Rattus norvegicus: one gene and its partners. The protein of the gene in region 4 interacts with the protein of the main gene of each other region in a pairwise test. Links are inferred from orthologs where the notes say so. Each region holds a gene or a part of one and is shown on either strand. Other genes may lie near its edges. The genes, in order: Crx, Hspb8, Nfix and Qrich1.

Region 1 (7,224 bases), on a different chromosome or scaffold from region 4:
ATTTATGTGTTTCTGCTTATGAATGCATGCATTATATTGACATATCATACATATAGTCATGCACATATGAACACATTATATTAACATGCTCCTTACTCATGACTATGTATATGTAATCATACATGCATTATATTCACATATCATACATGCAATCATATATCTGTGCATAAGTACACATATATACATATTCTCATCAGCTAATTTCATAGCATGCACGCACTTAATTTTACATATAGATATAACAATACCAAAGCTAGAGATGTAGCTTAGTTGTAGAGCATTTGCCTGGCTCTGGGTTCAATCCCCCACACTGCAGAACACACACACACACACACACACACACACACACACACACACACACACACATTTCTCTTACCCACTAATCCTCTCAGTCACCTAATAATCATGTACCACCCAGCCTTTATTGCTTAAAGGGAACATCAGAGGGGTTAGTATTCTACTCTGGTGAGGAATATTACTGTTGGCCTAAGTGGGTAAGCCATACAGTTGGGGTGGAGGCTCACTCTAGGTAGCAAGACTGTCTTCAAGCTCAAAGCAATCCTCCTGCCTCAGCCTCTCAAATGCTGAGGCTACAGGTGTGAGCCTAGCATGTTTAGTGTGGTATTCTAGAACTGGTCGGACTGAAAGAAGCTGTCAAGTAAGATGGATACGAGGTAGCATTTCAGCCAAAAACTGGCATTTCAGTTTGAAATTTAAAGCACTGTGATCCATGTGAGTCTCCTTGATTTATAAGATGACTTGATTAATTGACTGGTTGTTGCTCAATAACCGTGATGATGAAACAAGTCCTCTGAAGCTAGGCTTAATAGCACAGACCTGTTGTGATCCTTGCTCTTCAGGAGGTTGAAGCAAGAAGATATGAAGATCAGGGTTTGCCTGAGCTGCAAAGTAAGTTCAAAGCCAGCCTGTGTGACTTAGTGAGACTCTGTCTCCCAGTGCCAATGCTCAAGTGGATGGTGCCACTCCCATGCACATATAAGCAGCACAAACTTGACCCAGTGGGTTTTAAAAGAGGAAGAAGAGGAGGAGGAAGAGAAGAAAAACAAAAAGGACATGAATGAAGCTAAAAGAGAAATGGAAGAGGAGGAGGCTCCTGGAGGTATTGGAAAGAGAGAGTAGAACTGACCTTAATTCATTGTATCCATGTATGAAATTACCCAAAGAATAAAGTTTTATTGCTTATTTAGTTTTTCTAAAGTATAATACATCATTTCCATATTTCTTTCCCTTCTTCTAAATCAAAGAATAATTTTTGCCCCTCCCCAGAATAATTTTTTAAAATGATAACTGCACTCATGTGCACAGACACATACATGAACATAATTAAAAATAAAATATGCACACACACTCAGCATTTGGGAGCCAGAGGCAGGTGGATTGCTGGTACTGGTCTACGTAGTAAGACCGTTGCCTCAAAATTAGTTTTAGCCAAGTAGCAGTGGCATACCCCTTTAAATCATAGAACTCGGGAGGCAGAGGCAGACAGATCTCTGTGAGCCTCGTCTATGGAGTGAGTTCCAGGACAGTCAAGGCTACATACACAAAAGAACCCTGTCTTGAACTAAAATAAATAAATAAACAAACAAACAAACATGTAAATACATAAATATCAAGATAAATAGTTTTAAGATTAAAAAACAAGAGAGATGATGATATATCTCAGTGGTAGGTCACGTGCATATGTGAGGCCCTGAAAGAAAACAGAGTACAAAGGGAAGGAGAACCCTTGGAGGACAGTGTGGTGAGAAGGCATCATATAAGAAGAGTGATATAAGGAATGTGAAGGGCATTTAGGCCATTTCATAAATATGCTACCCTTGGCCTCTTTCCTTCATGCACTCTGGATTTGACAAGGGCCCACAGAAGGTTACAGTAAGGGTTCAAGGGGTCCACGGAGCAGATCATCCTACCTGGACCCTGGACTCAGGCAGGTTGATCTTGAGAGCAACCTCCTCACGTGCATACACATCCGGGTACTGGGTCTTGGCAAACAGGGCCTCCAGCTCCTCCAGCTGGCTCCTGGTGAACGTGGTCCGCTCCCGCCTCTGCTTCCTAGGGGCACCTAAGTGGGGGCAAATTAAAGAACCTCAGGTGGTGGGTTCGGTCCCCAGCTCCGAAAAAAAGACCAAAAAAAAAAAAAAAAAAAAAAAAAAGAACCTCAGGTGGGCTAGGTCTGCTTGCTAGAGGCTAGGAGGTACAGAGGAATGCCTGTCCCAAAGTCCTTTCTGCACATCCATCAGCCTAAAGAAGGGGCTTTGATTGATTCCCTGGCCTTCTAGTGGTGGCTCAGTCCCCAGAGGAATTAAGAGAAGTATTCCAATCATTCATTCACTGGATTTGCCCCTCATTTTGTCTGTTTCATTCCTAACCCCTCCTTCCCTTTCTTCTCTTCCTTCTCCTCCTCTCTCTGCCCTTCCTCCTCTCTTCCTCCTTCTCTCTCTTCTATCCTCCCTTTACTCTTCCCCTCCCTTTTCTCCCTCCCCTTCTCTCTCATTACAACAGACTTTCACTACATAGCCCACACTGGCCCTGAAATCATGGACTCAAGAGATCCTCCTACCTCAGCCTCCCAAATATCTGCGGGCACAGTCACTGCACCAGACTCCCCTCTTGAGACTTTTTTAAATATTTTTTTATGTACATGAGTACACTGTTGTTGTCTTCAAACACACCAGAAAAGGACATCAGATCCCATTACAGATGGTTGTAAACCACCATGTGGTTACAGGGAATTGAACTGAGGATCTCTAGACGAGCAGTCAGTGCTCTTAACTGCTGAGCCATCTCTCCAGCCCGTCTCTTGAAACTTTTTATACTCTTAAGATATATTTGGTTGAGACATGGTGTTATCAATAACCATGACTCCTGCTTATAAAAGTGGTTCAACTTAATGTAAAAGAAAAAGGGGGCCAGCAAGATGGTGCAGCATGTATAGACACTTGTGACCAAGCCTGAGGACCTGAGTTCAATCCCTGGGACCCAACATAGAAGGGAAAAAACTACTCCCAAAAGTTGCTCAGACCTCAACAAGGGAGCCATGGCAAACATCCCTCCTGCTCCCTACCCTTCATGCAAAAATAGTGTTTTATTTGTTCTTCAAAGAAAGAGAAAGGCTAGATAGGTGGCTCCTGCCTTTAATTCCAGCACTCAGGAGGCAGAAACAGGCAGAACTCTGTCAATCTATAAAGAAACCTGGTCCACATGGTGAGTTCCAGGCTAAGGCTACATAGTGAGAGTCTGTTGAAAGGAAGGGAGGGAGGAAGAGAGGGAGGAAAGAAGGAAGAAAAGAAGAAAGGATGAAGGAAGAAAGGGAGTGAGAGAGGGAAGAAATAAAAAGGAAGAGAAAGAAGAGAAAGGCAAATGAGAGAGAGAGATCTGTTAAATAATAATGTATCATAGTAGAGCATGATGGTGAAGGACTTAAATCTCAACACTCTAGAGTCTTGAATCAGGAGGCTGGGACATGCTCAGTTATATAGAGTGAGGGGCTGGGGGCGTGGCTCACTGGTAGAGCCCCTGCCTAGAATCCCCCAGTGAGGGGCTGAGGGTGTGGCTCAGTGGTAGAGCCCCTGTCTAGAATCCCCCAGTGAGGAGCTGGGGGCATGGCTCAGTGTTAGAGCCCCTGCCTAGAATCCCCCAGTGAGGGGCTGGGGGGCGTGGCTCAGTGGTAGAGCCCCTGCCTAGAATCCCCCAGAGAGGGGCTGGGGGTGTGGCTCAGTGGTAGAGCCCCTGCCTAGAATCCCCCAGTGAGGGGCTGGGGGCGTGGCTCAGTGTTAGAGCCCCTGCCTAGAATCCTCCAGTGAGGAGCTGGGGGCGTGGCTCAGTGGTAGAGCCCCTGCCTAGGATCCCCCAGTGAGGGGCTGGGGGCGTGGCTCAGTGGTAGAGCCCCTGCCTAGGATCCCCCAGTGAGGGGCTGGGGGCGTGGCTCAGTGGTAGAGCCCCTGCCTAGAATCCCCCAGAGAGGGGCTGGGGGTGTGGCTCAGTGGTAGAGCCCCTGCCTAGAATCCCCCAGTGAGGGGCTGGGGGCGTGGCTCAGTGTTAGAGCCCCTGCCTAGAATCCCCCAGTGAGGAGCTGGGGGCGTGGCTCAGTGTTAGAGCCCCTGCCTAGACTACTACAGCTATGGTGGGGCATAGTTCCATGCTAATGTGCCTACCTAGAAGCCACAAGGCCCTGGATTACAGCCCAACAACCACTACTCCAAAAAGAGAAAAAGAAAAAGCTTTACAAAGAGATGGAATCCTCCTGATTCTTCTTCCAGACCAGTTCCCTTTCCCTCTTCTCCCTCCAAAGGGAGTCAATGTCATGACTATTTACTCCTCTGAATTCCCGGGGAACATGTAAAAGTGCCTGGAATACCAAACTCCTTTGCAAATGGACATAGAGCTGGTACAAGTTCCCACTGCCCCCTCCACCCCAGGAATGCTTTTTCTCCTGAGGGCAATGAACCTCAGAGGTTCTTAAAAGACAGACTGAAGGTTAGAAGGAGAACACACTTACTTGAGTATGGGACAGCCTGGTGCATCAGGTCCACACTGGGGCCACTCAGGGCCAAGGCATTGACCGAATAGTGAGGTCCCGGGTTCATATACGTCATCATGATCTTCAGAGACTAGGGCCCAGATTGGGTGCCTACAAGAGAACAGGGTGTTCATCCTACTTCAGGTCTTCTTTGGGATCCAACCAACCTTGCCCATCAAAATCAATCTCTCTCTCTCTCTCTCTCTCTCTCTCTCTCTCTCTCTCTCTCATTTTTAGAGGCAAAGTGTTGTGGTATATTCATTTTCTCCCAGCTGAGGAGGCAGAATTCTGTGACTTTGAGGCCATCCTGGTATCCTGGACTACATGAGTTTCAGGGCCTCAGTTCCTAGCTCTGTGTAATTGTCATTTTTATTTCCTCAGATGAAGTGATGAGATGAGAGCTGTACCCAAGGTGTGTGAATACACAACTTGGGCTGAGCCGGGAGTGTTTTTATCTAACTATCCCTAGGCCTAGCCCTGGAAGCTTCAAACCCTCATACAATCCAATCTTCTACAAGCCCAAACTTTGAAGGCCTCCATCTGTTCAATCTAGGCCTAGAATATTTCAACTCTAAGACATACTGAGTAAGTTCACCCTTTCTACCTCTTTCTGAATTCTGGCTAGCTGGTTCAATTCGACTGTCTGGCTCAAACACCTCCACAAGCTGGTTGATTCAGACTGGCTTCTTTCTGCTTCTGACTGAATTGTTCTGCTTGGGAAAACAACTTCTAAACTCCATAAACTGAACTACACTGACTTCACTGACTGACAAACTGGACAGAACTGCATTCAACTGAACTGCACCAAATGCAACTGAACTCAATCCAACTCCTCTCCCTGCAATGTTCTTAAGTAGCCTCTTTCCTGTCTGTTCTTATGGGAGGTATATATACTATGGTATATATATATATATATACTATCTCTGACTCATTCTGTCAAATCTTTCTTTGATTCATCATTTTGTCAGTCCTTCAATTTAGACATCATTGTTTGGAATTAAAGGTGTATCCTGTGGGCTTATCTATATTCCAGCCAAAAGGATTAAAAGAGTGTACTAAGGGTGTGTCTGTTCCAGCCAGATCACATAGACCTATTTCTTTGGGTATGATCCCTTACCAGAGCAGCCATGTTGCTAGATTAAAATTCCTTTACAGCCCTGGCTGTTGGCAAGGCACTCAATTATAGACCAAGCCACAAGATCCAAAAGAAAGAAAGAAAGAAAGAAAGAAAGAAAGAAAGAAAGAAAGAAAGAAAGGTACTTTTTTTATTTTGTGCAATAGAGTTTCATGTAGCCCTAGCTGACATTAAACTAGCCAAGGCTATAGCCAAAGCTGATTTCGTATTTCTGACCCTCCTACCTCCACCTCACAAATTTTGAGACCACTAGTATTAGCCATCACTCCCGAGGGGTAGGTGTGTATGTGTTTGTTTGTGTGTGTGTTTGTGGGGAGTGTTTGTAGGGGAGTATGGAGGAATGTTTGTGTATAAGGGTGTGTGTGTGCTTGTGTATGTGGGGGAGATTGTGTTTGTATGTATGGGGTGTACGTGTGTGTGTGTGTAAGAGTGGAGGGGCAGTTAAAATTCAACCCCAAGTTTATTCATCAGGCTACCCACCTCAGTTTTTTCATTTTTTTTTCTTTTTTTCGGAGCTGGGGACCGAACCCAGGGCCTTGCGCTTGCTAGGCAAGTGCTCTACCACTGAGCTAAATCCCCAACCCCTTCATTTTATTTTTGAGAGGTCTTATATAACTCAGGTTGGCCTCAGATTTTCCAGATAGCTGAGAATAACCTTGAACTCTTTATCTTCTTGTCTCCAGCTCCCAAATGCTGAGATCACAAGTCAGCACACCATACCTGGTTTATGCAGTGCTGGGTACCGAACCCAAGTCTTCACAAATGCTAGGCAAGCAATCTACCTCCTGAGCTTCATCCCCAGTATCTCCCTTGGTTTTTAAGATCAGGTTTCTCACTAGTCTGGAAATCGCACTGTAAGCTAGGATGTCTGGCCAGCAAGCCACAGGGATCCAGCTGTTTCTGTTTCACCAGTATTGGGATTACAAACACAACACCATGCCCATTTTTTTTTATCCTGGCCTCTGGGGAACAAACTCAGATCCTCATACTTGTAAAGTAAGAAGGTTACTGAATAAGCTATCTCCTAGATGTACCATTAATGAGACAGGAACTTACTACATAGCTCAGACTGGCCTTGAATTCATAGCAATACTCCTGCCTCCACCTACCAAATGCTGAGATTATTGTCAAAGTCACACTTTGATACTAAGTGCATGTGTTACATATACTGTATGTCCAGATTACAGATAATAATAGATCACTTAAATGTTTGTTATAGGACTGGAGAGATGGCTCAGTGGTTAAGAGCACTGAGTGCTCTTCCTGAGGTCCTGAGTTCAAATCCCAGCAACCACATGGTACCCCAGAAACCCCTCTGTAATGGGATCTGATGCCCTCTTCTGGTGTGTCTGAAGACAGCTACGGTGTACTTATATATAGTAAATAAATGAATCTCTTTTTTTTGTTGTTCTTTTTTTTTTTTTTCGGAGCTGGGGACCGAACCCAGGGCCTTGTGCTTCCTAGGTAAGCGCTCTACCACTGAGCTAAATCCCCAGCCCATAAATGAATCTTCTAAAAAATGTTTGTGGTTGGGGATTTAGCTCAGTGG
Region 2 (8,003 bases), on a different chromosome or scaffold from region 4:
GGCTCTGCCACGGCATTCGGTAGGTCAGCATAGTGACTACATTTCCAACTTGGGATACTTTGGGTTTCAGATGAGGTCTCTGGGGGCCCTGGTCCCATCGTAAGCCAAGGGATACCCATGTAGGCTGGGCCTCTGTTCTCAGCAACTTACTTAATGCCAACTCCTTTAAGCAGGGACTTCATTGCCAGCACTGAGTGGATAGAGAAGCTAAAATTCAGAGACTCTCAGTGAATCAGAGAGGCCGAGTTGCCCTGAACACACCTGATCAAGTGACCCCAGAAGTCATGGAGCAAAGATCTGGAAGAAGAGGTGGGCAGAGTCCCAAGAGCCAGATGTCAATCCCTGCTTAGATAACACTTCCTGACAGGGCTCTACCCTTCTCTGGCCCTCCGTGTAGTCTCTAAAACGTTGTGAAAACGGCCTTAACTGGAGCTCTGGGAGACACAATGGAGTGAGTCACACGGCCCTGGCAAGATGCACAGGTGAACCTTGGCGTTCACATCAATGTTTAGATTGGAAATGGGGATCCTCAGAAGTCTATGAATCCTGCCCAGGCTCTGAAAATGAGGTTCAGGCTGAGGAGAAGGAACGAGGGTCTCTGAGCAGGAAAGACTCCAAGATCGCTGGAAGGAAATGTGTAATTTGGAAATGTGTTAAAGAAGGTGGGTCATTCTTGTGCTTCATTTACATGTCATTTGCATATCGTTTTCATATCATTTGCATGCGCGCCTGGCTTATTGTGTGTCTAATGTTTACACCAGCAAGCATAACTCATTATGTTTTACTATATAATTTATATTATTGCTTATTAATACACTTATTTTGTATATTAACACAAATATTTTACATAATCGTTTCTATATAATTATTAACATAAAAATAAATTTGTGAATGATATTAAATTGTTTATGCATAATATATATTATTTATCAGAAGGAAGGGAAGATGGCTGTCTGTACAGAAAGATCGCCTCTGCCATCCCAGGACAGCATGGCTGTGATGTTTCTTAGGAGCTCTAGAAAGCTGTGGCTTTGAGAGAGAAACGCTGGTGTTGGGGGAAGTGCTCAGACCCATCAAAGAAAGGTGCTATTCCCAGGCAGAGCAGAGGGCCTGGGGACAAGACAAAAGCCTTTCCAGGCTTCCCCTAGCCAAAGCCTGGCCCAGTAACCCTTGAAGGGATCATTCTTGGCTGCTGTCTGCAGGAGACTGCCAGGTGCGATGGAAATCATGACCCCGCCTCAGGTCTGTAAACTGCACGGACTACGGAAGGCTCCAAGCCCTGCACCAGGAGGAGGCTTACTCATGATTTTGGCTCATCTGGAATCATTCAAAACTCCAAATAGCCTTTCCTCCACTTCCCAGACATCCGGAAGCAGATGACAAATCTGCCCTAACCTCTTTCTGAGACCAGCGTTGAAACAGAGGCCAGAGGTTGGGAGTGGGGTGTTCTAAAAGTAGATTCCCAGTTAGAGCTAGAGTAAGCCTATGAACCTCCGGGCAGGCCTGGCTTTAAGTATTAGGTACTACGAGAGAAGAAGCAGGTGGTTGGTTTTGTTGGGTGAGTTAGCCTTCCTAGGACTCAGTTTCACAATCTGTAAAATGGGCAGGGGTGGTGTTACAAGCCTACCCACACTCCTTTAAAAAAAACCCATCAAGAGTAACCAGTAAGCCAGCCTAGTTGGAGGTTGAGCAAAGGTCCAGCCTGAACCTGCTTGCAGAAGGACAGGTTCTTGTTTGCACTGTAGCTGTCCTTGACTCTGTTCCCCGACTTCCCTTTGCTTTTGCAGGGAGCCCCGGATCTTAGTTCTCAAACCCCTTTCATGAGAGAAAGAAAGCTTTGTCATCGTTCACTCTCTGTGGGCTCGGAGTCTTTAGAGCTGGGGCCACAGTCTAGCTGCGCATCATGGACATGGTTTATTTTGTGTGTTAGTTTCCAGTGTTCCCGTCTCACAGACAGAGACATCGGGGGTCTGGGGCACACCCGGAACCTCAGGATCACTAAGGTCCGTGGCTGAGATCTCAGCCTGTGGCTGCCAGACTCCACCTGTTAAGGAGTACCTTCTAATGGGGATGGAGAAGAGACTGCAGGGTGTAGGTGATCTGGGAGCCTCTGGATTAAACAACCATAATTAAAATAACCAGGGCGGGGTGGTGACGGGCTCGGTCAGCAGGACGCGCTATTAACTCCATTTCACTGACACTCTAGATAGATCGTCTGCATTCACTACACCTTCCCATTAGCCTTGCCTGACAGGAATGGTCCCGATTCCCACTGCGCAGATGGGAACACTGAGGCTCAGAGGGATGAAGAGACTTCCTAGTCTGCAACCGTGCTGCTACCCCACAGGAGGGCTGGAATTTGAACCCAGGTCTCGAAGAATGTTTGTCACGTGTTATTACTAGGACCTTCCCAGGTGCCCGTACCACAGCCACCGCTGTGGCTGCTGTTAACAAGAACAAACTCACCATCCGAACCCTGAGCACCATCTGCGCATTTACCATATAGATAAAAGATATGTTGGGGCTACCGCCATCCTTCCCGAGGACCCACGGGGAGGGAGCTCGTTGCCCAGAAAAGGAACGAGACAGCCGAAGAGAAAAGGAGCCGTCCCGTTGGCTAGCGAGGGTTGGCTCGCCAGCCAGTGCAGAGAGCCCACACCCACGTCAGCACGCGCCCCTGAGTGCCGCCTGCCCCACCACTCCCACACCCACGGCGTTTGATGTTTACAGTTGTACTCGGAGAGACTTTAAGACACCGCCTCGCACACTGCTCGGACTTGTCCCTGCCCAGATAATGCTTACAGAGTGGCGGTTATTGATTGCCTGGCTGACAGGCCTCTGCCAAGAACAAGCTCCTTTTAATGGCCTGTTAATTGGGAGGGAGGCAGGAGAAAGCTTTGCTGAGGCCCAGCTTACCAGGGGCCAAGCTTCCTGTCTCCTCTTTTTGCCCCCTGTGTATGTATTCTTTCTCCCAGAGTGCAATGGGGTAAGGAAAGCCCTGGGCCTAGCATGGTGACCAGGCCTAAGCTCTACTCTGGTCTTTTTGCTGACTCATTGTATGGCCTGGGACTGGGCCTCCTCAGCTGCAAGAGGGGAGTAGACAGTCGGGATGACTGCCATTCATTCATTCATATATATATTCATATATATATGCATATATATATGTATATATATTCCCTTCCACCCCAATTCCCAAGGCAGTCTGGGTTGGCACCCTTTGTTGCTTTGAGCAAACTATGCAAACCTCTCTGTGCCTCAGTTTCCTAAAGTACAAAAGGGAGATGTGGACGCACCAGCCATGTCCTCTGGTTGTACTAACACAGGTGCTGTCTGGCACTGAGGACACGGTTCGGCGTGGTGCCTGGCAGACAGCTCTCCACCTAGGATAAGGTCCCTACTGCTGACATTACCACCCCAGCTTTCATTTCCTCATCTGGTGACTGCATTGACCCTGGCTCCTGTGCCCCTGGCTTTGGAATGTGCTAACCCCTCTCCCCGTGCCTTCAGAAGTCCTGCGTGCACTCATCTGGTCTTTATATTAAATTGTCCACCTCGAAACATCTAGCCTGGCTTCTGCCGGCTCTCGGGTGGGGCACGGTGTCCTGAGGACCCCAGCTACTCCATCACATCCACGCTCATTCCGTCACCCATTGAGAAACACTTGTCTCTGAAGATAACATTGTGGGTTGCATTCTTGGGACCTGAGGTCACCTGAGCCATGTTGTCTGTCACAAGTCCCTTCTCCTGAAGCTCTTTCTGGGATGAACCTGGGAGCACGCGCATAAGAGCACAGGCATGGGAGCACGCAACACACACACACACACACACACACACACACACACACACACACACAGAGGCACAACCCTGCCGGCCCGTCACTCACCTGACACTTCCACGTATCCATCCTTGGTCTTTACCATCAGTTCTTCCGGCTTGAAGCTGTGCACATTGACACACACTTTCCAGGGCTCCCCAGGGAAGGGTGGGGGGTTCCTACCCTCAGCAGGTACCCCAAACCTGGCTGTGGCTGTAGGCCCTCGGGGTACCATGCCAGACCTTAGGGTTCCAGGCCAGGCAGAGGAGAGCCGAGGCAAAGCCCACTCGGGCCAAGGGGCTGTCAAGTCGTCTGGGAAGGGGTCCATGCCAAAGCCATCGTCCAGCAGGCGGGAAGAGAGCGGTGAGTCCCGAAAGGGGTCTCGGCGCAAGCGGCTTGGGTAGGAGCACGGGAAAGGCAATTGCCCGTCAGCCATGGTGTTTGTTGAGCTTAGAGGGGGAAACAGAGGCTCAGAGAGACGGAGCCACCTACCCAAAGGTCACACAGCAAGGTGATGTGGCTTGAGATGGCTTTCAGAGTTTAATTCTCCACTTCAGAAAATGCTGATCTTCCTTTAGCCACAAGCCCAAACATCCGCTGCCCAGAATTGCACTGGGGTCCTGGCTCACAAAGGTGACCACCTAATCGGGCCCAGCAGAATCCCAGAGGGCCTCTCTCAGTCCCACCTCACCAGGCTATCAGCAAGCCACCGACTGCCCTCCTCCCAGGCTGCCCCGGCTCCCAGCCAAAGCCTGCTGAGGTCTTGAGCGCAGCCAGGAGTTTAATAAAAGCTCGGGGACTCACGCGCCTAGAAACTTCTCCTGGCTTCTGGGCTGGGAGCCTTCTATTTATTTGCTGCTGGGGGCTGGGGGCGGGTTTTGCAAGCGCCTCCTGTCACAGGAGTATTCAAAGGTGATGAACCAGTCCCTGAGAATCCGCTGAGAGAACAACTGGGCTCCGGGAGCGGGTGGGGAGCTGGGAGGGGCCGTAGCGTCCGAGTCCAGCCAGCCTCTCAGGCACGATCTCCTCCTCCTGCTCGGCTCCGCCCCGCCCTCCCTCTGCCTCCAGCAGCGTCCACTCTAGGCACCAGTGCCCCGCAGGGCACTAAAACCAGACTATTAATAACCCTCCGCCTGGCTGAGGGCTCAGGTCACACTCTGGAAATACCATCCTCAGACGTGTTCTGTCTTGCCTCCCACTCTGGGGACTCACAGAAGAGGAGAGATGACCCCTCATTGGATCGAGAAGCACACGGAATCCCCTCTTACAGTATGGCCCAAGTCTTACAGCCTCAGACTTCTGAGAATGATGTTTGTTTTTTAAATGACAGTTTACGTTATGAAAAGCAGGACGTTGTCAGGCAGAGTCTATTGGGGTAGGTAGGTCTTGGGGTGAGAAAACAGATGGAGCTCAACTTCCAGCACAGCCTGAGCCACTGGGGATTCACAGCCTGGAGGCAGAATGGGGGTCAACGGATGGGAAATGACTGAGGGGAATTCAGGGACCAGAGGGAATTCCAGATAAACGGATCTAACTGAATTCCTCTATGGATAGACTCGGGTGGCCAGACCTTGCTTTGAAAGTCAATGGAGGATGAGCAACTGATCAGGCATGGGAGGGGGTGATCACACATGGAGTTATGGGGGTTGCAGCTGAACTGACATGTTCTTGCTAAAACCGGGTGAAGAGAACACACCCCTGGGCCTCCGAGGAGGAGTCTGCCTGAAGTTTGGTCAAGGGAAGAATTTCGATCAGCGGCAATATTACTCCAAGGCATGCCTGAGCCGCCTGGTTTCCACCTGAGGGAGTGGGGCAGGAGAGGAGCCTGCTCTGGGACTCGTCATCAGGAATGCATGAGGTCATAGACTTTGCAGAGGAGTCTATGCTTTTAGGCTTTCGACTTTCAACTTATTGGTTGCATAATGTTTGCTCTCAAGTGCTTCGTAAACATTAGCTGGTGGAATCCTCCCCCTCTGCGCACTGAGAGCTGCGAGCTTACCACTGTCCCATTCGGCAGGAGAGTAAACAATCATAAGTCATCAGAAACCTTTTTTTTTTTTTTTATTGACTGCCTTATACATGCTGGAAAGCATTTCACCACAGAGCGAGCTGCACCGTCAACCCTCCTCCCTTTGTAAAATCACTTATCGAGGTGGGTTCACAAATAAAAACATCACACAACAGGTTGAGGCTAGCTAATAGCCACTCGAACACCTGCTCAGTCCCGAATGCTTTCCATCTCGGCGAACCCCTGTACACAGAGCAGCCACGCCCTGGAGCCCCACTTTGTGAACTCCGTACTCAGAACAGCCACGCCGAAGCTTTCTTATGTGTTTTACACTTTAACTATCAATCGCAGCTTTATCCACAGCTCCACCATACAGAAGAAAAAAAAAGTCGATCATGGGGTGGAAACTCGGGGAGAAAAATGTTTTTTAACCTCTTCCATGACTTATGTGTCCTTCGCCTACATCTATCCTTCCTCATTACCTAAGATGGCCCTGTCTTGATGTTCTTTCTAGATGTTACTATGTCATCCTACTATGCTACGCCTCATAGGGGGAATCCTAATCTGTAATGTGTGTGTGTGTGTGTTTGTGTGTGTGTCTGTGTGTGTATGTGATGTATGCTGTGTGTGCGTATGTTTATGTGTGTGTGTGATGTATGATGTGTGTACGGATGTTTATGTGTGTGTGTGATGTATGATGTGTGTGTGTGTGAGGTATGATGTGTGTGTGTGCCTGTGTGTGTGTGATATATGATGTGTGTGTATGATGTATGATGTATGTGTGTGTATATGTGATGTATGGTGTGTGATGTATGATATGTGTGTGTATATGTGTGTGTATGCGTGTTTGTGTGTGTATCTGTGTGTGTATGTGATGTATGATATGTGTGTGAGGTATGATGTGTGTGTGCCTGTGTGTGTGTGATATATAATATGTGTGTATGATGTACGATGTGTGTATGTGTGTGTATATGTGATGTATGATGTGTGTGTGTGATGTATGATGTGTGTGTGTGCGTATGCATGTTTGTGTGTGTGTATGTCTGTGTGTGTATGTGATGTATGATGTGTGTGCATATGTTTATGTGTGTGTGATGTATGATGTGTGTGTGTGAGGTATGATGTGTGTGTGCCTGTGTGTGTGATATATGATGTGTGTGTATGATGTACGATGTATGTATGGGTGTGTATATGTGATGTATGGTGCGTGTGTGTGTGTGATGTATGGTGTGTGTGTGTGTGTGTGTGTGTAAGTGGGGTTATGCAAGCAGGTAAAGAGACCCTTTTATTTCCTTATTTATTTTCAAGTAGCCTCTTATTAGTCTCCCTAGGCTGACCTTGACTTCACTCTCAGCTTAGGCTGGCCTTGAACTTGTGAGTTCCCTGCTTCAGCCTCCCCTGTCAGCTAGCACCAGGCTGGGTTTCTCTCTCTCCTCTGAATAATAGCAAATGTCTAGATGCTCTGTTCTCCAGGTGGGATGTTCTGGAAGCTCAGATCTGGGAAGAACCATTTCTAGAAACGCCTACTCTTCCATTCTGCTTGGAAAAAATGAATTTAGGAATCTTTTAGCCTACAGGCGCCTTGGGTTTGGGGTTCCAATCCTCAACAGGTAGGAAGCTTGTCATTTTCCCTTTGAAAGTCTTGGGGTCCCAGTTCTGCTTTCTTTTTGGACTGGGCATGTTGGGGAATTTGAGTTCCAGGTTGAGAAGCTGTTTTGATAGAAAACTGTCCTCACAGGACATACTTTACTCAAAATGACGATACTGAGAAGGATCACCCTCGAGGGTGAGACGATGCAGGCATGTCGGGAAATGCTCACAACGGTCTTTGTTACTGTTAACCCATTTTTCAGATGAGGAAATAGGTGGCCCGTGCATACAGATGGCCTGTGTCAGGAACTCTGGTGGAAATGCCGATCAGTTTGAATCTTAGATCTGTACTGAGTGGGTGGGATGAGACCCCTGGCTTTTGTTCCAGTGGGAAGAGGGTCCCCCTGTCCTGCCTTGATGTGCCCCCCTCAGTACCTGGGTGGCCCCTACGCGATACAGGATGAGCTCACTGTGCCAGAAGACTTAAGCTGACGTCATGGCTGGGCATAGACTGCAGCTGGGAGGGGCCGAGTGAGCCTGCAGCTAATTATGAGGCGAGCCACCCTGTATGATGGATGAACAGGGAGAAAT
Region 3 (7,971 bases), on a different chromosome or scaffold from region 4:
CAACCCATTGTTGCAGGAGGGACTGCTTGTCACTGTGACACATTCACTCCACTCTGAAACACAGCCACAATGGTGGTAACTGTGACAGCTACAGTGTTATCCAAGGCCTGGACAAGGACGTGCCACCAAGGCATGAACAGGCATGGTGATGCACACCTCAACCACGCTGTCACCAAATACAGAAGAGAGAAAATGTGAGATGGTCCTTAAAGTCAAATGCAGGTAGCACCTATCAACAGACTCAGAAAACAACGGAAAAAGAACGCCCACACGGTCATAGGGGTTCCCGATGACATGGCGGCTGGAAGGCCACCCGGCACGCTGATCACAATATGGGAGTCTTGAGAGCTCTGGCAGCCATCCCTTCATCCTCCTGACCCCACACCCAGGACTTTGGAGGCAGGAGAATAGACACCCCTCTTGTCTGTTGATCAGGCTCACCAGAGACTGACGCTGTATGCCAGTACCAAGTTGCAGGGAGTAGACAGGGCTCTTCTCTGCCTGTCTTGATCAACTGGAGAAAAGGTAGTGCAAGACCGCCAACTCCAGCCCCATTCCTGGGGACAGAGACTCTTTGCAGTTTAAAACATTTGGATCCAGGGGTTGGGGATTTAGCTCAGTGGTAGAGTGCTTGCCTAGCAAGCACAAGGCCCTGGGTTCGGTCCCCAGGTCCGAAAAAAAAGAAAAGAAAAAACAAAAACAAAAACAAAAACATTTGGATCCAGAATCACTTCAGGATCTTGCCCACAGCCATCACTGTCAAGTACACACGAAGAGTTCTGTCCTATGGCGGATCCCCATCACAAGCGGTGTAGACTTGTAAGTGGCTTGGAGCAGGGAGGACATCTCTAAGTCACTAACGCAATGAACTAAGTCTCCAGGCTTTGTCCGGTCTTCATCCAGATCCACGTGTGCTCTCTTTACCAACAGACAGCTGGTTCCCATTAGACAGGGAAGACCCTCTCCTCATTTCACCTTGCCCTACTGTGATGTCTGACACCCTCAGCTTAGCCCACAGGACCCCAATAAGAGGAAAAGCGCTGAGCCCTGCCCTTCCTTCCAAGTCCATGCTTCCTCTTCCAGGAAGAACATGGAGATTGCCACAGTGGCAAAGGACTCCACTCTTTTCTCACTTTCATGATCAACCTTCTCTATGCAGGCAGGGTCCGGATGATGACAGGGACACTTCTCAAGCACACATCACACGCCCAGCATGACAGTGAGTTGCATTACAGACTAAAAGATATACATGAACTTCACAGACCAGGAAAACCCTGTCCTTAAAGTCCCAAGACCAGGAGATGCAGAGAGGAAACTTAAGCCCCCTGCTGACTAGTCCTTGACCTCTGCCCCCACACCCTCCATCTGGCAGCCCCAGAAACTGCATAAGACACTCATGTCTAGGCCAAGAACCCAAGCTCCTTTTGGGGATGTATTATTAACTCAACCGAGCCATGGCTCTGAATTCAGCCAGGCCCACCACTGGAGCATTTCGCAGGACCCCAGTGTGGTTGGTACCCAAAGTGACCCAACCTGTGTTGTCTCATTTTTATGTTAGGGATAGGAGGTGTGTGACCACGGAGAGAAAAGCTGGCAGCTCCAGGCACGGTGGCTCACACCTGTGATCCAAGCTCTTAAGAGTGGAGACAAGGGGGTCAAGAGTTTAAGGCTATCTTCAATGCAGAGCTAGCCTGGGCTTCGTGTCCCAATCGAACAAACACAAAAGCAAAACTAGCAAGATAGAGCATGGTTCACCCCTGTAGCCCAGGATGACCACTGTAAACTTAAGGCCAGCCTGGGCTACACAGCAAGACATCCATTATCAACCAATGTAAAAATGAGCTGTGAGTACCAGTTGGTTCACGAACAAAGAGCAATCTACAGTTTACAGGGACAGAAGAATGGTCACAGTGAGCCAGAAAAAGCCAGACGCGGAAGAGAGGAAGGGCAGGCCCAGCTCACCTTCAAGAGGGTACACGGCTGTGCAAGATCATAGGTTCTACGACTACCATGGGGAAGCTTGGCAGAGGTGCCCGTCCAGGGGTGATCCCGTGTACGCCCATGTGTGTCATTGTGTGTGTTTGCAACTGTCTACATAGTAGCATATATGTTCTCTCGGCCAGGAGTGGGAAGGCATGGGTGTGTATCTAAGAATTAGAGAAAGTCTCGTTCACAACTTGAAAGCCAATGATGTCATGTCTCCATGTAAAGACGTATGCCCACTGCCCTCCGTCCTCAGCCTTGTGAGTACATCCACACCTGCTGTGGGCCCAGTTTGTGCCACGGGTACCGTGACTCTGTGGCATATCCACGCACGGCTTGCCTTGAGATTGATACGTGCAAGTGCTGGTGTTTAGGAACACAGGCACACGGTTTTGCCTTGGTGGCTATTTCACAGGGAGGTTTTCATGTCTGAACTTACATGAATGAATACATGTATCTCATCCCCAGGGGCACACGTGTGTTGAAGTGTATGACAAGAGTTATGTGACTAGATGTCAAGGTGAATACAATGTTTATGATCTCCCCTGGCAGCGATAATACGTGTGTGTGTGTGTGTGTGTGTGTGTGTGTGTGTGTGTCCCCGTTGTTGAGGGGCCCACCAAGTCCATCCGATTCCTGATGTCTACCTGAGACCCAGGCGTGTGGCTGTGAAGAGCTTCAGCAGCTCCAGCAATGACCCCACCCACCGCTGGATCAGTTTCTCTTTTCTAGGAGATCCTCCCCACTACCCTTCCTCTTGCCCGCCCCACCAAGCCCTGCTGCTCCAAGCTTGCTTCTGTTCAATCATTTATTGACTTTAAAATTGAAGCCAATTCTGGTTTGAAAAAAAAGAAAGAAAAGAGAGAGGGGGTAAGGGGGTATAGAGAGAGTCCAAGAGTGAAAGGGGGGAGGCCAGAGCCAACCAGAGACAGGGACAGCTAGAAATACAGAAGGACAGAGATGACAAGGAACAGACAAAGAGCGGAGATAGAGGAAAAGAAAGAAAGAAAGAAAGAAAGAAAGAAAGAAAGAAAGAAAGAAAGAAAGAAAAAAGGCCAGCCAGCGAAAGAGGTTGTTGGAAAAGCAAAGATGGGAGGCAAACTATGGCAGTAGAAAGGTTTGCGAAAAAGAGACATGGCGGAGAGGCAGGGACAGCCAGACCCTGATGACCGAAGGCTGCCAAGGACCCTAAGCAAAGGGGTTTCCCTGCCCACCATGCAGGGCTGGCAGACTGGTGAGATTGTGCCCACTCCCCTCCCAGGCAGCCTGGCATGTGCAAGATGTAACACGCACAGATTGGAGCCCGTATTCCCTTCTGGAGTGCCACAGAGCCAAGCCGAGGCCATCACCCCAAATCTGGGGGCCATCCCAGTCCCTCCGTAGCCTTGGCACCAGTGTATCAGCTGGTATTTTCTCTCCAACGGTGGGTGCTTCACCTGACCCATGGGTGAGGAGGGGGCAAGCCCAGATGTCTGGCGACGTTGGAGTGGAGGTAGGCTAGCAGCTTGGTAGATGAGGTAGCTGCTGGAACATGGGGTCTTTGTCCCACTACACAGCCATAGAGATGAGCAGATCACCAATCACCCTGAAGGTAGCCACAGCTCAGACCTAGATAGCTGACCAGGTCCTCCTGCGGGGAACCCAACATAGGGTAGCTGACAACTTGAAGGAACAGACCCATACTGCTATGGTGGTCAGATTGGCAGGGCAGGCGAGCATGGGCTCCTCCAGTGACACACACTTGCGTGTGATTTATACTGGAAGACACATCATCTCGCCCGGTCATCTGTGTTTGTGCCACGAAGTCTGGCCACTGCCAGCCTACAGGAGTCACATACAGATTCTAGACACACAGACACACAGACAACTAGTACCTGGGACTACAAGAGCGCTGAGTCGTTGGAACTGCAATCCACCTGCATATACCTTCTTGCCCTTCAAAACATCCTGGCATGCTCCTCGTATACTTGGTCATTTATATACACCATGGGTGTGTGTTCCCACTCTAAGGTGGTGGCACTTTCAGCACTCGTCTGAAAGGGCCCTGGCTTTAGCAAAGGGGGCCATTAGGGACTCAGGGTTGGCCTAGAGAGTTCCCACAGACAGGCCTGGCCAGCATGCAAGACTTAGACAACCTCTACAAATCCCCTCTGCCTGCTGAAATCTGTCACCTGCCCTGGTCTGGTTCTGCAGATAGAGCTGTGAGGGCCCCTCTAGATCTGGGCTGGTCTGGCTGGTGCCCTCTCAGAGCCTGGAGTCGCAGCTAGAAAGAGAGGGGTGGCAAATCAGGCATGCTCCAGGCCTCAGCCTCCGCTATACACTGCGCAGGGAACTTCGCTGGAGGCGGGACGCGTTCTCGCGCTCGCGCTCCCGAAGCACGCCAAGGTCGGCGCTGCTGTGCCCGAGGCTGACCCGACGGCTGATCCCAACAGGTTCGACCTGCGGTGGCCACCGCTGCTCCCCCCTTCCCGCCTGCGGGTGGCGGACCGGGATTCCTCCGGACACTTCCAGGTCCACGCCGCGGCGGTCCTGGTCTTTGAGACCGGAAAGTTTGCACGGATGAAAGTTTGGGGCCGGGGAGCCGCGTCTGCAAACGTCCAGGATCCGCAGAGAGGCGCGGCCCGGGCTGGCAGCACGCCCGTCCCTCCCTCCCCTCCCCTGCCCCTCCGAAATTTGGGAGCCCCGCCATTTTCTCAGCCCCGCTCCCATGCGAGGCCTGAACAAAGACTTTGGGGAGACGCCCGGGCCGCCCGGGGCACCCCAGCCGCACGCAGAGCAGCTGCCCACACGCCCGCCACTGCCACCCCGGGGCGGCAGCGCCGCGCCGCGCGCAGGGAACGCCGCCCGCCCGTGCTCCCCGGCGCCCCGGGGCCACTCTGCCTCCTGCCGCCGTGTCACCCTGCCCGCCCGCGCTTGCCACCACGCCGCGTCGCCGCGCAGCAGCAGGGGTCCGCTGTCCGCCGCGCCCCGCCGCGCGCGCTCGCCCCTCGCCCCCTCTCCACGCACTCCCGCCGCGCGCCCCGGGGCAGCGCCCCCGCGCCCCGCCCGCTGCCCGCGCGCCTGCGGGACCCCAGCCCGGCCCTCCCGGGGCGCGGGGGCGGCGGCCGGTACCTGGGTGAGGCAGTACGGGGAGTACATCGCTGGGCGCCCGGGCGCGAGCGCAGAGGCCGGCCGCGGCGAGGGCAGGCCCGGCAGGCGGCGTCGCGCTGGCTGGCACTCGGGCTCCGGCTCCGCTGCTCCGGCCTCCGCCGCGCGGCGCCCGCCCGGCCCGCGGCCCCGCTCGGCCCGCCGCCGCTCCGCGCTCACAGGCTCGGCCCCGCGGGCTCCGGGCCGCCGCCGCGCTCGCCGCTGCCTCTCGCGTCCGCCGCCGCCGCCGCCGCCGCCGCCGCGCGTCTACTCCATGCCGCCGCCGCTCGGCCGCTCGCCCTCGCCCGCCACCGCCGCCGCCGCCGCCGCCGCCGCGCTGTGAAAGTGAAAGTTTAGACAAAGTTTGGAAGCGGCGCACTCCGGGGAGAGGGAGCGGGCGGGCGGCGCGGGCGGGAGGAGGGGCGCGGGGAGGGGCGGGCGGGGCGGGTGAGCGCGGCCGGCGCGCACACACATGCACACACGCACACACGCACACACACATACACGCGGGGACGCACACCGACGCGGCCGCCCCGACACGTGCTGGCCGGCGTTCGGGCGCCGACACACGCTGACACGCAGCAGGGCTTGGACGGGCACAAATGTCACGAAGGAACGCAGGGACTAGTCCTCATGAAGTCACAGCAGACGGCGGTGCACACCGGGCACAGACACGAGCAAGAGCCACACACCACCTACTGTCACATGTCCCAATGCAGACCGACGCTGAGAGCCGCACTAACATACATGCGCGTGCCACACACGTCCCTGCAGAATACTGACACACACAGGATCACATAGCCATACCTTGTCACCCCGGACACACAAGGACACACCAACACACAGCCAAGCCAAAATATCTTGGAAGACAGCTGTGGCAACCCAGACACAGGGTGACACTGACACATGGGAGCCCCCATACAAAGGACACAAAGTATCACTGTACAGGGGCACACACTGCACGTATCACACATTGTGTTGCACAAATATACCCCAGGCCTAGGGTACGCTGATCTACAATCCTGATAGCAAAACAGTTGGCAGGTTCTGTGTAGACTCTCCCAAGTCAGTCAGTCTGTCTGTCTGTCTGTCTGTCTGTCTGTCTCTCTCTCTCTCTCTCTCTCTCACACACACACACACACACACACACACACACACACACACACACCACCCTTAGCCTTCATATGTCTCTCGTACCTTTGCACATATCCTGGGACTTAGGAACATTATCTGTATTGTGGTGAAGCTCCAGCCTCTGTTGCAGGCCCAGGACCCCCCACTTCCACTGGAGCTGGGAATAAGGTGGGGTGGGGCGGGGTGGTTTGGCAAATGTCTGCAATCCCTCCACTCAGAAGCTCCAAGAGGAAGGTTAAGACTGAGCTGTAAACCAGCCTGAGCTACAGAGTTTGAGGCTGGCTTGGCCTGTATACTGAAACCCTGTTTCAAAAAAAACAAGCAAGGAACAGAGGGAGAAAGGGAAAGCCTTCACAGAGAGGGAGGGAGGGAAGGAAGAAGTGGGGAAGACGGTGCTGGGCACTCTGAAGGAGGGCACAGAGAACTCTTGGGTGACCCTAGGTTGGGTGGGAAGGCTGTGCCTCAGTTCCCAGGCAGCTCCTAGCAAGGCACAGCTCCTTCCCATTGCCAGGTGCAGCCAGCACCTTGTCAGCCTCCTGAGCCAAGGAGCTGTGGCAATTCTCAGTAATGCATTGTCTAATGGGGGGTGGTATAGGTGCCCAGGTGTGCGTGGGTGAGTGTGTAGGGGCTGACAAGGCACAAGGATGTGCGTGCATAAATGTCCCTGAATGCTATGCCCCTTGTCCTAAAACCTCTGAGATAGGGCGGCAGGCGATGTGCCTGGGGTGTCTGGTGTGGGTCTGAGCAGGGCCAATTTTTTTTTTATACTCAGTATATTCTGAGTAGTGGCGTGGGTGTGGCTGTACCCATGGATGTGTCTGTGAGTCAGCAAAGGTGTCTTCCACCTCTCTAGGCGAAACACAGGGGACGTGGTGGGACAGGGAACACTGATCATTGATGGAGATATGAGTGTGACTGACAGGAGGTGAGGCCACAGGACACCGGGGTGTGTCCGCACTGACCCAACATATCAGTGCAGCCACACTGGAGATCTGTAGCATGTTTTCCGTGTGTGTGTGTGTGTGTGTGTGTGTGTGTGGTGTGTGTGTCCCAGCAGGTAAGTGTCCAGAGGTCACAGAAGGACTGCCTGTGAGAAGGCTTCACATGCATTTGTTTTCCTGTGGGACCCATCCAATAGAGAAGATCTGTGTGTACCAGAGCAGGCCAAGGATGGATGTCTGTGTCCAGGATATGGGTCTCTGTGTGTCAGCCCATGCCAGTAAGTGTACATAAGAGCATCTCAGTGGGGGATTGGGGATTTAGCTCAGTGGTAGAGCACTTGCCTAGCAAGCGCAAGGCCCTGGGTTCAGTCCCCAGCTCCGGAAAAAAAGAAAAAAAAAAAAGAGCATCTCAGTGGATAAATAGCTGTGTGTATCAGACAATGCTAACATGCCCAACTGGATGTGAGCATATGTGTTTGTGCACCAGGCATTGGATGCCTTTCTTGGATGCCAGGTATGTGCCTGTATGTTAGCCCATGTAACATATTTTATATGTTCAAACTCAAGGTCATCCTGTCTACACAGTCCATAGCTGTGTACGGTCAGAATGTATCAGGTATGTTTCCATGTGTCAGACCATGTCAGTGTGTATGTGTGCATAGCTGGTGTGCATGTGACATGCTGTGCTTCTGTGTCTATGTATGTGAAAACAGTGTAGGAGTTGGGGGTGTGGTTCCGTTGGTAGAGTGCCTTTCTACCATCCATGAAGCCCTGGCTTCAATCTCCA
Region 4 (8,005 bases):
TGCATGTAGATATATAGAAACAGAAAAACCCTTTTGAGAGTCTCACTCTGTAGCCTTAGCTGGCATGGAGCTCACTATGTAAAGCAGGCTGGAGATCCACCTGTCTCTGTCTTCCACGTGTTGGGACTAAAGGCGTATAGCATCACACCTGGCCCATGATTTAAAAAGAAAAATAACAACACAACAGACCTTTATATTATAGAAACACAGTTATTTCCACAAAGAGAAGAAAACAACACACTGGATATGCTGGTAGCCTATAGAGACTCTGTTTCCAGGCCACTGCAAACTTCAAAACTACCCATCCCACTACAACATCCCACAAACACAAGTTCATCAAGCTAGCTTCAACCTGACAAACAAATGCTGTTTTGAAAAAAATATATATATATACACATACATATATACACACATATATACATATATACATACACATATACACATATACATACATACACACACACACACACACACACACACACATATCACATATATGGCAAACTCTCCCAAGAGTTCATTTGAGACAGGCAGACAGAAACACACACACACACACACTCTCACACACACACTTCCTTTGAGACAAGCTATCACCGACTGTGGAGTTCTGGCGGACTGGAAATCAAATCCAAGTCCCTACACATAGGCTTAGCTTCCAAGTGTATTTTAAAGCAATACTGTGAGCCAGGCTTAGTGGTGCCCACCTTTAATCTCAGTGCTCAAGAGGTAGAAACTTTATCTCTCTGAGTTCAAAGTCAGCCTGATCTATACAGTAAGTTCCAGGATAGCTAAGTCTACACAGAGAGAGCCTGTCTTAAAAAACCACAAAAAAACAAACAAACAAACAAAATCCCTACTAACTTTTCAATAAAATCCCACTGCCATCTATATAACCATAATTGTTTTTGGAAAACATGTTAACCTATAATATAGAGCAAGTTTTTTTTTTTTCTTTTTTCTTTTTTTCAGAGCTGAGGACCGAACCCAGGGCCTTGCACTTGCTAGGCAAGCGCTCTACCACTGAGCTAAATCCCCAACCCCTATAGAGCAAGTTTTAAGCAAGCCTGGAACACATCAGTCTGACTCCAAAAAAATTTCAATTAAACTAAGAAAAAAGCCATGTCACAATGGAATGAGGGAGAGATGTTTCTTGCCTCAATGCTACATACAATTTTGAAAATATTTCCTGACACAGAAACATACATCGGATGTGTTAAAAAAAATGGGGGTTGGGGATTTAGCTCAGTGGTAGAGCGCTTGCCTAGGAAGCGCAAGGCCCTGGGTTCAGTCCCCAGCTTGGGGGGGGGGGCACACGGGGACCCTCATACAATTTTACATGTCCTAGTATCATTAGTTAAGAGGGAAAAAAAGGAAAAAAATCAGAACAGTATTAGCTGATAAATTTTTGTATAATACTGTACTGTATTTTCCATAAATTATATTGACAGAAAGATACTTAATAAGTCATCCTTTTCTATTTTATGGTTATATTACAACAGTAGGGCAAACAATTCTTTTGTAATATGCTTTGCCCTAAAAATCTTCAACTCTTAACAAAATCATCCAGTCCCAAAAATTTACATAATAATGGTGTTAAATTCTTTAAGATGCTGCACACAAGACACAAAGGCTGAGCCTCCACAATAGACAAACACTCAGAGACAAAAGACTCCTAATTAGTGCCTTAGAGTCTAAGCTAAAGACCCGGTGAGAAGCAGTAAAGAAGTTAAGACTTCTAAAATCCAGAAGCTATGAGAATAGGCTGAGTAGCCCCAGTACCTGGAAGTCAGATGAAATTAACAATAGAAAACAAGAAAACAGTAGAGTTAGTTCATAGTAGGTAGTCCTTAAACAAGCATTTGCTTCTAAAGACCTCAAGTCTAGTTGCTTTGCAGGACACTGTAGAAGACAAACGCTCCAGTCAGCAGACCCACAATACTGTCATGTGCTAGTTACCAGACTGATAGGTTCACTAGTGCTAGTACTAGCACAATGCCTGACCAAGTTAAATATACAAGCTATTATGTTGTGACCAGAACACAATGAGATTCATGGAAAAGATTATTCAAAAAGTATCTCCAAGGGCACTTTCACTAATTCCTTTCTTCTTCTCTTTAGGTATTAAGAGATGACTCCAGTACTCACCTAGAGTCATTCATTTCTGCCTTCTGTTGTTTGTTTGACTAGTCAAGTACAGCACTAAGAGAGGGTATGACAAGTTCAGTCTGTGACTAACTGCAACCAATTAACTCACTACTTTTGGGCTAGCCAAGTTTTTTTTGAGGCTTTAAACTACTTTTTTTTTTTCCTTTTTTCTTTTTTTCGGAGCTGGGGACTGAACCCAGGGCCTTACCACTGAGCTAAATCCCCAACCCCGGTTTTAAACTTCTAAGAGACTATAGTCTGAGTCACCTCAGTCTTGCCTCTTTTGAGCCTCAAACCTCTTAAAAAGTAAGGTGTCACTGCCAAAGACGCAGAGTGGAAAACTTAGTTCTATTCTTACAAATGCTAACCCATTATAAAGTCTGTCAAAGAAACTCTCTCCTGGGCCACTCCATCATGTTTCTATTTTTAAATAACACGCACTTTCAACCAAGAATTTAAAATCAATGCCTGGAGACACGGCTCAGCAGTTAAGAGCACCGACTGCTTTTCGAGAGGTCCTGAGTTCAATTCCCAGCAACCATATGGTGGCTCCCAACCATCTGTAATGAGATCTGATGCCCTCTTCTGGTGTGTCTGAGGACAGCAGTGTACTAACATACATAAAATAAGTAAATTTTTTTTTTTTTGGTTCTTTTTTTCGGAGCTGGGGACCAAACCCAGGGCCTTGCGCTTCCTAGGCAAGTGCTCTACCACTGAGCTAAATCCCAAACCCCAAGTAAATTTTTAAAAATTAAATACTGGGGCTGGGGATTTAGCTCAGTGGTAGAGCGCTTACCTAGGAAGCGCAAGGCCCTGGGTTCGGTCCCCAGCTCCGAAAAAAAGAACCAAAAAAAAAAAAAAAATTAAATACTAATGGGTTATAAATTAATACAACCACTTACACTGGCTTGTGAAGTTGAAAATAACGTATATGACATCCAAATATATGCAAATATTCACAGTAGCACTGATATGTATAAACGAAGCAATTTAGAAGTTTACCAATGTAAGATAGAAAACTTAATGAAATATCCACAAGACAATACAGAAATGAACATCAACTACTACAGCTGCACAAAACAGGGAAACACAATAATAAACTAAGCTCGGGAGGCATAGGCAGGGAGATAGCCTATGAGTTCAAGGCTAGCCTGGTCTACAAGGTGAGTTCCAGAAAAGCCAGACGTAACATATTAAGATCCTGTCTCGAAAACAATAATCATAATGTGTATTTACATGGAATTCAAAACAAAAGCTATGCCTTAGAGATACAAAGGTGGTTAAATACAAAGACAAGTCTATCCAGCTGAAGAGATTGTTCAGCAGTAGTTCGCACACTGGCTGCTCTTCAAGAGACCCTGAGTTTGATACCCAAATAACAGCACACAACAGGCTCTAACTCCAGTCCCAAGGGATCTAACACCCTAATCTCTTCTAGTTTTAAAGACATTGCATGAAATGGTGTACAGACATATATGCACATAAAACACCCATAGACATGAGAGAGAGAGAGAGAGAGAGAATATGAGATTGAGATTATTGAGATTGTTATTCGAATCAGAATAAGTTTGTCTCCAAGAACTGAAACACTAATGAGAGGGAAGGGGTTGATGACATTCTATTTCTTAGAGGCAGTTACACTAATCCGAACTGTAAACAGTGTGTAAGTATTTTGACAACTTTAAGGCGGGTGTTACAGTGTGCTTGTATAGCATACACAAACCTCGGGGTTTGATCTGCAACCCACACAGAATGGATCTGTGGGCAGCACACCTATAATCCCAACACCAGGGACTGTAAAGGCAAGAGGCATGACCAGAAGTTCCATGACCATGTTCTACTGCAACAGGTCAGAATTTCTAAAACGTAGTCTCAAAGAAAAAAAGAACCAGCTTTCTAACACATCTCATCCACCTTTAGTTATTAAACCTTAGTGAGGGTAAAGAACCATTTCTTTCCCCCTTTGAAGATTGCAAAAATTTACATCTTTTTCTTCATGCAACCAAGTCAGTTTAAAAAGACAAATCACAACCCAGAACCAGAGCAGTTGTTTAGTGTAAAGCGCATGCTTAGCATGTGCAAGACTCTGCGTTCAATCCTCTGCACTAAACAACAGACAGACAGAAAACCTGCTAAAAACAGAAATTACAGTACAGTATTATAGGGAAAATAGTGAAGCTAAGAGAGGTCTTAAACCTGGAACTAAATCCAAGAGAGCAAAGTAAAGAACAGGTGTTCACGTAACACACCTCATTCTGAGGCCAATTCAGAAATATTCACAGAAAAAGCGTGGCCATTTAAAAAGCACAGAGGTAAGAAGCAAGGCACACCAAGTACAAACCACTACTGATTAAAAGCATGCAAGTTTATAGGTAGACATCCTTGATTTTGAAGCTGCTATGAAAGAGAACAGCCACACCCAAAGTCCCTAACTGGGTTTTGATTTGTGTTGGGTTTTTTTTTTTTTCTTTTTTCTTTTTTTCAGAGCTGGGGACCGAACCCAGGGCCTTGCGCTCGCTAGGCAAGCGCTCTACCGCTGAGCTAAATCCCCAACCCATTTTTGATTTTTCAAGTAACTCAAATTCACAACAACATTCACAACAAAATTCAACTGTTCCTTGAGGTTTTGTTTGAAACATTAACACAAGCTTTTGTAAACAGAAGTGAACTTTGTAAGTTCTTGGAGAAGTATAAAACCCAGAGAACTAGAAGTTATCTACCATGTAAATAATACTAGTTGATGGAAACACTGTTTCTGTTTTTTTAAAAAAAAGGCAATCCAGAATAAGAAAGCTTAAATGGTATAAAAAGTTTATAAACACATTGTCAACAAACAGACAGATTTTGTTGTTGTATTGTTTCTGTTGTTCTGGAAAGCCATTTAGGTTCTTAGTTGATGCTTTGCAATGTTAATCCTGAATGTTCCATTGACTTGATTTTAAGGACCGTTGCCTGATGAACAAATACAGTTTCCCTCATCAGCGGTTTTCTAGTAAGTAGCAGTATCTGGCAGACAACACCAAGAATGAATGACAAAATTTGTAAAATGTCAGTATTACCAAAGGGTTGGGGTAACGGACTGCACACATACTTCCAGCGATGAATGATTTTTAACTCACCAGTCACCATGTTGCATGTATGTCTGCTGCTTGTCCTGAGTTCTTAAGACTTCTAACATTCTGAAGAAGATAGAACAAAGAAGTTCCTTCCATCCTCAGCCTCTTTTTAAGTTTTAACTTTGTTCTTAAAAAAATACAGTATATTTTTAAAAAGTCATTACTACCCAATTTGACTGCTACTAAAAGCAACAATCCTTTTAGCTTGCTTTCTCTCAACTTTAATGTAAGAAAACTGTAAAATAAACTAGCAGATGTTTTGTCTTAGAAAAAAAGAGCTGCGTATTCTCCATCACAAACCTAGAATTTCCTAGACAGCAGATCACAGCACTGGATCAAAATGTTTTTTAAAAAAATGCTGAGAAGGACTTCAGTTACATAGATTTTATAGTGACACAGGCATATTTTAGAATTTTCTGTTGGATATTTCAGAATTTACAAAGAAAAAAAAGGCAAAGCACTGATCAAGTTAATCAAGGTTAAGAACCAGCCCTTATCCAGAACAGAAAAAGCAAGCCCCTCCCACCCACGCGGGGGTGACAAAAAAAAAAAAAAGGCTGCATTTAAGTCAGGATTTAAAGCGGAATTTTAGAGCTTGGAGGGTTTGATACCATACACATAGGAGGATCTCTTTCCGGAGCGCACAGAGGTGACGTGTATCAACTGCGCTTATGGAGGAATTGGTTTCTAATGGAAGAAAAGCGGGGCCTTGCAATGTTAACCTTCTCTCCTCGGCACAATGCACCAGTACAAGGTGAGGAAACCCATTGGGGACCCAATGCCCTCTCGGGCCAATAGGACTCGGTTTCCCAAGCAGAGTAGCACCCTCCCCAAGCACCCACCCAGTACATGGGCCTCGCTTAAGTAACAGCATTCTTCGGTTAGTACAAGCAATCCTGTCCGCCTCACGGAGGAGCGGAGCCGCAAGCCAGACCGCAAAGCCGCTATGTTTCTCCGCAGACCTAGGCCACCGCTGCCCGGGACGTCACGAGGGCAAGGGCCCAACCCTCAACCTTCCCCACTCAGCAAGCCGGTCGTCAGCCAGGCCGCCGACCCTCCTCTCGGAAGGGGCGTCCTGCGCGTACTCCGGACAGCGCGAGCAACCAAACCAACAGCAGGGCGCGCGCCACAAAACTGGGGGTCGCGGGGAAGCGCGCGCCCCGGAAGCCGTTCTAGCCCACGGGCCACAGCTGAGAGCCAACGGGAACGCGCACGTCGGGCGGCTACGCGCAACGGGAGGACCGCACAGCGCGCGCGTTACCGCGCAAAAAAAAAAAACACGCTCTTGCGCGCGCGCCTCTGCGCGCGCTCGTGCCGCCGCGCCCACCCAAACCTCAGGCTCGCCCCTCCCCCACCCGCGGGGCGGAGGCACGCGAGCCGAGGGACGTTCTCCGTACCGAAGCCGCCCCGAGGTCGCCTGGGCCCAGCGGCAGCGGCCCGCCCGCCCCCGCCCGCCGTTGTGTGGGGTGGGCCTGCTGCCCCAGACCCACAGCCTTGCTGCATTCCCGCCCTCACCAGAGCCCTCACCCGGCGACGTCACCGCCGCCGCTGCCTCCACTCTACCCTCCGGCCCCGCTTCACCGCCTGGGGCCTCGGTTCTGCCACCGCTGCTCCAAGACCGACAGGATTTTCTCCTCACAGCTCCCTGGGCGCCATCTTACATTCAACCCTCACGGCCAATGGGAGCCGAATGCCTCTCTCGCGAGAGTCGAAGCGTCGGATCCCGCGAGAGCTACCGCTCAGACTTAAAGGGAACGCTTCGGACTTAGAGGGAGACTGCTGGAGCTGAGAGCGTACCCCTCGTTGTGGGAAGGAGCACCACGCCCATTGACACCCCTCCATGCGGGGCGGAGCTTAGGCCTGGGGTTCAGTATCTCGGGGGTATTTTGCCCCTGTCCTAGGTTTACAAGCGTGCTTCTTGAACCCACCTACGGTGTCCCGCTAGCGCCTCCTCTACTTGCACAGTTCCACGCAAGGCGGGGCCGGGCCTAGCTCAGCCTCGTGGTTAAGGTGGCCCCCTCTCAAACCCCTAAGCTGGGCCCAACTTTAACAATTGTACCGCCTCTGGGAAACGCTCAGGGTGTTGATGTACTTACTGGAAAAGACAGCTTCAGGAACACCCACCATCAGCTATCATCTGAGATAAGTTCACCAGTCAGGTCCACCTTAAAGCGGGCCTTGGGTAGCCTAGTGTTTGTATACAGGGAAAATGTGCAAGGCTTTAAAGCTGCAGGCACTCAGCTACAGCCTCACCAGCGGCTCACAGCAACCCAGAAAGCCTTCAGCCTGTGGGAAGACCTTTGTGCCTTCTGCACTTGCTCCTGTCCTAGCAAACTCTCATCTTCAAACTCCTCACAAGTCAGTTTCTGAGACGGAGTCCAACCTAAGGGCTGGTATGGTCAGGAATCCCATCTCAGCACTGTTAATAGGAATCCAGGGAGTCTTCTGGGGCCTCCAAACTTGAAAGGCCACAACATTTATACTTTAGTTAACTATGCTTAAATAGTAGGTTTTGTTCTGAATGATCATACAGGGGATCATGTGTCTCTTGATCCGACTAGCCAGAGAGACACAAAACTAGATCCTTCCATAGAGCTGATAACTGCAATAGCATGTCTGGGGCTCCCAGGTTCATATAGGAAATGCTGACCTAATTGCAGCCATGCACCTGCCTTTAAGAACCAGGAAGTGCAGTAGTGATTTTGTGACTGGCTGTCTTCTGGGGAAGCCATTCTTCCAGAAGATAT

Evidence for each region.
Region 1: the proteins of Qrich1 (region 4) and Crx interact in binary tests that used the Homo sapiens proteins (3 or more experiments, as listed by UniProt). The two-hybrid records come from large-scale screens. The link is inferred for Rattus norvegicus from reciprocal best matches to the Homo sapiens genes QRICH1 and CRX.
Region 2: the proteins of Qrich1 (region 4) and Hspb8 interact in binary tests that used the Homo sapiens proteins (3 or more experiments, as listed by UniProt). The two-hybrid records come from large-scale screens. The link is inferred for Rattus norvegicus from reciprocal best matches to the Homo sapiens genes QRICH1 and HSPB8.
Region 3: the proteins of Qrich1 (region 4) and Nfix interact in binary tests that used the Homo sapiens proteins (3 or more experiments, as listed by UniProt). The two-hybrid records come from large-scale screens. The link is inferred for Rattus norvegicus from reciprocal best matches to the Homo sapiens genes QRICH1 and NFIX.

Annotation. Positions count from the first base shown.
Region 1 is NC_086019.1:85,669,359-85,676,582, forward strand, and holds part of Crx (cone-rod homeobox protein), read right to left. Parts: intron 4,652-7,224; 5' UTR 4,620-4,651; coding exon 4,520-4,619; intron 2,084-4,519; coding exon 1,932-2,083; intron 1-1,931. UniProt on the Homo sapiens protein: Transcription factor that binds and transactivates the sequence 5'-TAATC[CA]-3' which is found upstream of several photoreceptor-specific genes, including the opsin genes.
Region 2 is NC_086030.1:45,833,915-45,841,917, reverse strand, and holds the start of Hspb8 (heat shock protein beta-8), read right to left. Parts: upstream 4,611-8,003; 5' UTR 4,251-4,610; coding exon 3,884-4,250; intron 1-3,883. UniProt on the Homo sapiens protein: Involved in the chaperone-assisted selective autophagy (CASA), a crucial process for protein quality control, particularly in mechanical strained cells and tissues such as muscle. Displays temperature-dependent chaperone activity.
Region 3 is NC_086037.1:40,257,528-40,265,498, reverse strand, and holds the start of Nfix (nuclear factor 1 X-type), read right to left. Parts: upstream 5,122-7,971; coding exon 5,095-5,121; intron 1-5,094.
Region 4 is NC_086026.1:118,094,356-118,102,360, reverse strand, and holds the start of Qrich1 (transcriptional regulator QRICH1), read right to left. Parts: upstream 6,451-8,005; 5' UTR 6,101-6,450; intron 5,386-6,100; exon of another isoform or gene 5,322-5,385; 5' UTR 5,262-5,321; intron 1-5,261. UniProt on the Homo sapiens protein: Transcriptional regulator that acts as a mediator of the integrated stress response (ISR) through transcriptional control of protein homeostasis under conditions of ER stress.